Arabidopsis thaliana: one gene and its partner. The protein of the gene in region 1 interacts with the protein of each later gene in a biochemical or structural test. Each region holds a gene or a part of one and is shown on either strand. Other genes may lie near its edges.

The links. Proteins that work in one complex are often made in the same cells at the same time.
Region 2: the proteins of RAN3 (region 1) and MBD5 form a complex in vitro, tested with the Arabidopsis thaliana proteins (one study listed by BioGRID).

Annotation. Positions count from the first base shown.
Region 1 is NC_003076.8:22,390,190-22,395,088, reverse strand, and holds RAN3 (RAN GTPase 3), read right to left. Parts: upstream 3,027-4,899; 5' UTR 2,805-3,026; coding exon 2,802-2,804; intron 2,666-2,801; coding exon 2,596-2,665; intron 2,306-2,595; coding exon 2,249-2,305; intron 2,148-2,248; coding exon 2,030-2,147; intron 1,813-2,029; coding exon 1,723-1,812; intron 1,637-1,722; coding exon 1,457-1,636; intron 1,368-1,456; coding exon 1,290-1,367; intron 1,202-1,289; coding exon 1,132-1,201; 3' UTR 904-1,131; downstream 1-903. Other genes in the region: MGE1 (Co-chaperone GrpE family protein), read right to left, coding at 241-384; AT5G55180 (O-Glycosyl hydrolases family 17 protein), read right to left, coding at 4,528-4,573, 4,820-4,899. UniProt on the Arabidopsis thaliana protein: GTP-binding protein involved in nucleocytoplasmic transport. Required for the import of protein into the nucleus and also for RNA export. Involved in chromatin condensation and control of cell cycle.
Region 2 is NC_003074.8:17,146,380-17,150,448, reverse strand, and holds MBD5 (methyl-CPG-binding domain protein 5), read right to left. Parts: upstream 2,218-4,069; 5' UTR 2,053-2,217; coding exon 1,882-2,052; intron 1,580-1,881; coding exon 1,454-1,579; intron 1,373-1,453; coding exon 1,121-1,372; 3' UTR 852-1,120; downstream 1-851. Other genes in the region: AT3G46570 (Glycosyl hydrolase superfamily protein), read left to right, coding at 3,582-4,069. UniProt on the Arabidopsis thaliana protein: Transcriptional regulator that binds CpG islands in promoters where the DNA is methylated at position 5 of cytosine within CpG dinucleotides. In addition, binds specifically methylated m(5)CpNpN but not m(5)CpNpG (N is A, T or C).

The DNA.
Region 1 (4,899 bases):
GCTTTCAAATTCACAAGGATTGCCAGAATTTCACATCCAAATTAAGACATATGAAAGAGCAATCAAAACATTAACATTCAGACATACACAATTAAATTCGTGACACTGTAATAAAGAAGACCAGAGCAATAGAATCAGAACATAACAATCTTTTGTTTAGACAAACCCCTTAAACCCTAGCATAAACCCGACGATAAAATCCAGAACGAATTACAAGTAAAATCAGCTTAAAAGCCTAACCTTGTTGGGGGTTCCGTGAACGAGGGAGTGAAATCGGCTTGCAACAATCGGAATCTGATTCCTCTTCGGAGTAACGACGGAGGAGAAAGACGAGCGTAAGCCTGCGCTGCGAGAAACTCTTGATAAAACCCTAGACACCAACATCACGGATGATTCGCGCAATGAATCGAAGAAGAAAAGCAAAAATCGAAACTTTTTTTTATATATTTATTTATGACTCTGAATCCGGCCGACGGAAGTAGAAAGAGGCAAAAAGGTTCTTGGGGAGGAAGCAAAATATTATTTGGGGTTATTTAAAGTTACGAAAATACCCTTAGCGATGCGTTAATGACTCCAAGAACTCAAAATCTTAGAAGCAAATTTTTAATGTACTCTAGTATGATATCCATAATCTGTTTTGATAGAGATCAGTATCTACATTTAGATACTTCTATTGGAGATGTCCTAAAACGCAATTAAAAAAATATATAAACAAAGAAAACCCTTCACATATCCTTGGTGACTCCATAAGTGGTAGAAATAATACAACATTCTTGATCTTTAGAACATCGATTGGCTACAGAAAAAAAAAAAAAAATGTTGTTGAGTATCTAAGAACTTGTGGTTTCGAAATGATTGATGTAAAAAAAAACTATTAAGTGTGTTGGGTGTGGAGAATTGATGAGATTGCGCGGCTAGGATTAATAGAGATACAATTGAAATTGTGAAGCATGTAAGGTTTGTAATCAAAAGGTTTTCACTTTCATAGCGACAGTTAAAAACTTAAAAATGAAAATTACTAATGTCATCGATTCATTTCAAAGTACGGACACATAAAAATAGCACCATGAACAAAAAAAAGTTCAGACAAGCCCTAACGGGTAATCAGTGACAGATCACATCTCTCTTTCTCTACTCGAAGGTGTCATCATCGTCATCAGGAAGTGGCTGACTTGCTGCTGCTGCAAGCTCCGCCTCATGCCTACAAATATATAATCGTTAATTGAAGAAAAGCCTCGAACTCAAACCTTAGCAACAAATTAAAACAAAATTAGTTTTAGAGAACTTACTGCTGCTGAGCAGCCAAGTCGATTTGAACTTCCGGGGGAGCAAGGGCAGGTGATTCCACAAAGTGAAGATTAGCGTCCCTGAGACAAACAAGCAACATCTCAATTTTCATTTTTCCGTTGTTTCACAATAACTACAATGAGGGTTGAATTGATGAATTGTTTCTTACCCGGCGAGCTTTCTAGCAAGGTACAAGAATGGCTTCTCGAAGTTGTAGTTGCTCTTGGCAGATATCTCGTAATACTGGAGGTTCTTCTTCCTGTGGAATGTTACCTGCTTGGCCTTGACTTGCCTGTTCTTCACATCAACTTTATTCCCACAAAGAACAATTGGGATGTTTTCACAAACCCTGCACCATGAAATTTGATGACATTTTCTGTTTAGCAATTTGCCACATACAACAAATGCTAGTTTCTGTGAGTGAGTTCATCATACCTGCAAAGATCACGGTGCCATGTTGGAACATTCTTGTATGTCAGTCGTGCTGTGACATCAAACATGATGATAGCACATTGTCCATGGATGCTGCAACAAAACAGAACACATTATTGTATCAAACACAAACTATTTGCAACAGTTATCAATAGTTTTTCATGTTGCTAGCTACAATCATCTTATTGAGCTTCAAACCATAACCAAGCTTCCAACACTAGAAGATTCTAGATTATAGCATGACAGTAGATGATTCTAGATTATTAACAAGGTCGGTTTTAAGTGATTTGTATGAGAAGAAAGTACTTACTAGTAACCATCCCTAAGACCACCAAATTTCTCTTGGCCAGCAGTATCCCAACAGTAGAAACGGATCTTGCCACAGTTAGTGAAGAAATCAAGAGGATGAACCTCAACACCAATAGTGGCTGCAAAAACACAAGAACACATGAGAATCTTTTGTGAGAATAAAAAAGGTTAATGACAAGTGATATATTTCAGGATGGGGCTTGCTTGCGAGAGTACTTACGTTCATACTTCTTCTCAAACTCTCCAGTAAGATGTCTCTTTACAAATGTGGTCTTCCCTGTGAACCAAACCAACATTTAATCAGAGGTTACTTGATAACATAGCCAAATGCATCCAACTACTGAAACAATTTGGAACAATCTCAGAATTGAACTACGACGGATCAAGATCACTTATACATACAGATACTAAGCTCTAGACAGACAAACTAAGTCAAAGCAGCATACTAATCAAAACTGAACTATATCAAAGCAATTTGATCCAAAATCGAGTTTCTGAAATAGAACTAAATCAATTCTCTGTATATATTTCTAAAACAAAAGAAAGATGAAGCTAGGGATTGGGTACCTGTGCCTCCATCGCCAACGATAACGAGCTTGAAGCTAGGGTAATCCACGGTTTGCTGGTTAGGTAGAGCCTGACAATTATGTCAAAATAACGATGAGACAAAATCAACAGATCACGCGAGATCGAATATAATGTTAAACCCTAAGAATTTCAAAGTAGGATCGAGAGATAAGTAGATCAACGCAAAGAAGGAGAGATAATTTTACCATCGGCGAAAGTGAAGCTATGCGAAGAGGGTGAGAGGAAGGCGGCGAGAGAGAGAGAGAGAGATAGGTTTTTTTAAACAGAGAGTATAGTGAGCTTAGGAATGACGCAGATACTCAAACCCGGTAATCTAGAATTGGATCCAGGCTCAGATCCGGATCCGGATCCGGATCCGGCCCAAAATGCTCTCCTGAATCCTGATCCATCATAGGCCTCGTCATTGTTATTACTACTACATTTTGAGCAAAATCATCAATAAGATAGAGTTTTATAGGGGAGAGGAGTTGGATTTGAGTTTTTTTTTTTGGTTCAATTGTTTATGAAGAAAATATAAAAGGTGTTAGATTTTATTTCTAAAGAATTTGTCTGTTTTTAATTATTTTTTTGGTAAAATTTAAAGTTTTATACGAAATTTTAGATTTTTTACATAACACGGAGATACAACGAAGAGAAATAAAAGACTGAAAACTACGCAACAATATAATAGAAGGCCACAAAAGAGAATGTAATTAATGAAAGGAACACGCTTTGATGGAAGAAGACACAAGGAAGCCATTGGTGTTGCCAAGAGTTAGCCGCGATGGCGCGATCCAAAGCTAGCCCTCAATATTTCAGAAAGAGCATTGTTTACAGCTTTTCCAATCAAGACTTACAAAAGCATACTCCACGAATGCGACCACCTTTCCATCAAATCACTCCCGCTGGCTAGAAGAAACTCGTGATATGGAAAGAAGGCATGACCAATTGAAAGCCCACTTAATTGGTTTGGAGGAGAAGTTCAAGTTGGTAGTAGTTGAAGAAAAAGCCATAGACTCATAGTCCATCTAAGAATATGTAAGTCTTGGGATGGTAATCAAGTACTGTATATGGTTTTGTTTTTAAAATTTTGAAACCGTGTTTGTACTATGTTTTGGTTAAATTGCCACCGTGTTTTGCGAGTACACTATCTCAATAATGCAAAGGGAAGGAAGTTCGATTAGCAACCACACGATGCTTACAATCCAAAACCTTAAGCTTTTTAAAATGACATAAAAAAGCAGAACATTCTTGCTATTTAAAACGTCTAAACTGACTCATCTAAGATCTTAGATATTTCTGGAGGAGAATACACATTCAGTAATAGAATAATAACAGACTTCACAACTATAAAAGCATTAAAGCTATTCTTGGTTCTGAAGATTCCATATCAAAAGACTTGATGAGTTTTCATGTAGTATAATGTATTCACAGAGCTTTGTGACAAACTATAACTCAAAACCCATTTTTCGAGTTACAGGCTTCTATATGGGAGTTGGTAGTGTAGTCGTAGCTCAATTGATGGTAGGCGCTAATCAAGTTTGATGAAGTAGGCAGCTCAAGGTTTTGACTCTGGAGTATTGGAATGAAACAATATGGACAATATATACTGTTGAGTTTTGCTTGGATCATGATCAGTTGATCACCAGCAAAACGAATCAATTTGAGATTTTGAAAATAATATTGCAATGTTGTTTATTGGATCAGTTGCAGGATATAATGGTTTATATCAACAAAGTTTTGTCAGTTTTATAAACTCACGAGCAAAGAAGTTAAGGCTTAAGGGGGAAAGAAAATCTGACTATTTATCCGATGAAACCAACCAAATATACAATAATAAAAATAAATATACGCAAATCATATACTCGAATGACAAAAGAACAATGTATCAAAATAAATAACGTAAATAAATCCGCACGATCCTCTTCTTCTCTATATCCATTTCAATGCCCTGTTGGAAACTCGCATTTCCCATACTCTACAAACACATAACCAACAAAAAATAATTAATTTAGTTTACGTTTCCGTCTATACGTCACAATTTAATTATAAATCTGTATACGTAAGTGAAGCCCAAAAAAATAACATTTGTTGTTAAACCATCCCAACTCCCATAATTATTATCTAACCATCTTCCAACTATTAAGAACGTGAAAATAACTATACTGTATATGCAAAATACTTACTAATCAAAATAAAATTTTGGAGAGGAAAGATAGGGTACTTACTAGGAGGTTGCGAGACCACGTACGCTGCACCACCAAAATTACACGTGCCAACTCCACGTGCGTTCTTCTGATAGTA
Region 2 (4,069 bases), on another chromosome or scaffold:
ATCTATATAATAAATCACCGAGGGTAAAGAGTATGTAAGAAGTTTAATCATCAAATTCTTAATTAGGTTTCGAGAATCCCAGCATTACCCTCTATTTAATTGGTTTAAGACGAACATTGTTTAGGAAATGTGTATATGATGCATTGTTGAAAATGTTGTTTGAAAAAAATATTTTAATAATAAAAATAATTATTTATTACATGAGTGAATGATTAGATAATTAAAATTATATTTAAATTAAACGATAAAAAAATCTGAAAATATACCGCAGCGTAGTGCAGATGATTATCGACAAATCAACCGAAAATATCTTTTTTGAAAACTCGTTATTTTCGACGGGGGTGTATATGTTACTTTTGGTAATTATTCATCTCCACGCCGTTAGAATTCCTCGAATTTTGAGGTGGAGAATTTTTCCCATTTTGTTTTCTGATAGGAAACAAACGATAACTGAAAAGTGCGATAAGAACCCCTTTTTTATCCACTGCATAAGACAGAAAAGAATTATAGTCTTTGACGACAATGTTCTTAGCCATTTTAGAAAGAAAAAAAATTCTTAAACAAAGATCTAAAGAAAATATTTACTGTTCATAAACAACGAGCGTAAAATGTCAAAATTTAAAAATGCGTCTGCCGGGAGTCGAACCCGGGTCTATTGCTTGGAAGGCAATTATCCTAACCGTTGGACTACAGACGCTTTGGTTCATATTTTCACACTGTTCTGTTATAACTTGAACTTATTCCAAATTATGTCAGTATGCTTCCGTATATCATTTAGGACAAAGGCAGAGAAGCATAGATAGATAGAGCCTATGCATAACTGATGATTCACAATTTAAAGCAGAGAGAACTGAGCAGAGAAGTACCGCACATCGAACTTTAGATTTCATAACTTTGTTACTATCGGATTCTCTCAAAGGCAATAATATAGACATACATTGCCTTCAAATTATCTAAGAAAATGTTAAGAAAGTACATTACAACTCAAATCAAAGTGTTACTAAAACTATCACTACTAAAAAATTAACCTGCATTCCAACCAACGATCAGTAAATACTAAGTAGATATGATAATCTAGCAGCGCGTGTTATTACAATTTGTGAGTTTCTGCAGCAATCTTCTAGAACATCGTTTTTCCAGCGTTTTGGGAGGTGACAAGAGTGAATACTCTGTCCCAATCTTGGCTGACAGATTCTTGAATCTTGTAGTCCCCAATGAAAGGCAACCAAGCTTCTTCTGAACCGTTTATCCCAGTCCAAGTAACCTTCTCCGGCACATTCAGAAAATCGAAGTTCAACGGCTTTGGCGGTGGCTCAGTAACCTTTTTGTTGGATTTTGTCTGCCGCCTAGCGCTTCCTCTACCTTCAGAATGCTACAAAAATGTGCAAAAACAACAACAGTTCAGGTAAAACACGGGTTTAAACCTTAAGGTAATGTCTACTAACAAACTCACTTCGGAATGTGAGTCTCCGTTTTCCGCTGTCTTGACGGACTTCTTTTTAGGCGTCCCGTGTTCCAAATAGTACAAAACCTCGTTCTTGGACCGGAACTTACGACCCGTAATCGGTTCGTAGTAGAACTACATTACAAATACAAGACATCATCAAGCACTGCATTATCATATTCACACCTACAACATCCTAAACAGAGCAATCTTCATCCAACAAGCATACATACAGCAACGTTACACTTAAAGACTAGTTATAAAGTCTCCAAATACCTTAAAATATAAACCAATAAGATCATCATAACCTAACTTCAATACCCAATTTCATAAATACTAAGAAAAAGTTCCAATTCAAATCAACAAACAACATAACATTTCCATTTGTACGGACGATTCTATCTGCGAAGGAATTGAAAGGGCTGAGATTTTTTCACCTTATCAACAGTACCAGCTTTAGTGCCAGAGGTTCGAACCCTAATTTCGGTTCTCCAATCAGGAGGAAGCCAATTATCATCCCCTGGCGTCGCACGTTTCCGTGACTTCGAATCCACCGGAGTAGCCGGGTTCTCCGGTGGTGGTTGAGCCTGATCCGTGCCGTTCGACATTTCCGGAAACAAACCCTGTGGAGGTCTCCAGAGAAAGGTATGATTGAGTGAGTGTATATAAAATTGAGAGATTTTAATATTCCTTTCTTTTTGACTGAATCAGACAGAGTAAAAGACAGAAGTACAATTTGTAAGTTAGAAGTTTTGTTTCTGTTTTAAAGTTTGAGCTCGAGGAATGGCTTAATTAGCCACGTTGCAGTTTTTGGGCTTTTGGGCCCATTAAGGTAAATTAATTTCTTGTTGTGAATTAGAGTGGATAAAATATTTGTAACCGAAATCAAAATCGAAATGTGTGTAACTGATATAAATTATTTGAACAACTATGGGCCGATCGGTAAGGATGACGGTAAATGTTTTGGCTTTAAAAACTTTTACCATAGAAAATTTGGATGTAGAGACTTAACTGTTGAGATTTTAGATGTTAAATTCTGATTGGTAATATAAAGTTGTAAAAGCTTGAGTACTATTTTTACTATTATTAAATATATTTTTGTAAATAAAATTATGTTAAAATTGAATTATGTTTCAACATAGTGACACAAATATATTTTATTAATAATATAAAATTAAAATACAAAAAATATTCTTAAATAAATATTCTCAACAAATAAACTGCACATGTAATAAATAAATTATTTATTAGTAAATTGGATCTTAAAAGAAAATATAAAATTAATAATAATTAATTAATCAAAAATGATTTGTGAAAAAATATATATAAAATTGTAGAAAGTTTTTAATTATCATGGGAGAAGAAAAAGAAAAGTTTTAATATTTATTTGTTTGAAAGCCATGTAATCGTGACTTTAAAAAAAAAAAGGAAACAAAGAACAAATAAAAACAAGGCTTTGAGAACTTTAAAAAAAAATAAAGTCAAGAAAGCATGACTGTTAAAATAAAAACTGTGAGGACTTTAAAACACCTTTAAAGCTATGAGAGCATCCACATCGGTGATCAGTATATTGGATGTCTTAACTGCCAAATGAAGAGAGAGAAATTTATTGATAAAATGAACAGAGAGAAAATTGTTGGTCAAATGAAGAGAAAAAATAAAAAACAATAACACCAACCAATAGCATGGTGACACATTCGTGTTTTCCCGTATCAAAAAATGTTTTTCCACAGACATTAAAGTCATCATGTCACTCCTATTCAGCGCATTAATTCTCATCTTCCTATTTTTTTTATTCTGTTAAAATTTGAAGACACCTTTTAAATTTGTCCGATGAGGATGGTCTGAGAGTCCCTTCCCAATCACCCCCAAATACAATTAATTTGCAACTATTTACATCCTTATTAATGGTTTCAATTATCAAATGTTATTAATTTATGATTATTACATTATGTAGCAAAACTTCCACGTTTAGCAAAACTTCCACGTTTAGCAAAACTTACTAGGAGTGAGTGATTTTTTGGGAGCCACTCGCTCACGTCTCCACAATCAAACCGAACACGATCATGCTCCCAAAAAACAACTCCTAGTAAGTTTTGCTAAACGTGGAAGTCATAAAATAAACTCATTCACGATCATGTTGGGATCTAGAGTTGTTCATCAACTTTACTTCCTAATTCTCACTCTCATCCTTCCCTTCTCCGCTGCATATCAAGTCGGCGTAAACTACGGCACCGTGGCCAACAACCTCCCACCGCCTCACCAAGTCGTCAACTTCATCAAAACAAAAACAATAATCAACCACGTCAAAATCTTCGACACAAACCACGACATCCTCGCCGCATTTTCCGGCATTACAGGAATCTCCCTCACCGTCACCGTCCCAAACTCCGATATCATTTCTCTTTCCAAGCTTTCCAACGCACGTTCATGGCTCTCCGACAACCTCCTCCCCTTCCTCCTAACAACTTCAATCCGTTACATTGCTGTCGGAAACGAAGTCGTCGCCACATCCGACAAAACCCTCATCACTCATCTCCTTCCCGCTATGGAGACGCTTACGTTAGCATTACACCTTGCTAACGTCAGTAGGATCTTAGTCTCGACGCCTCACTCGCTCGGTAT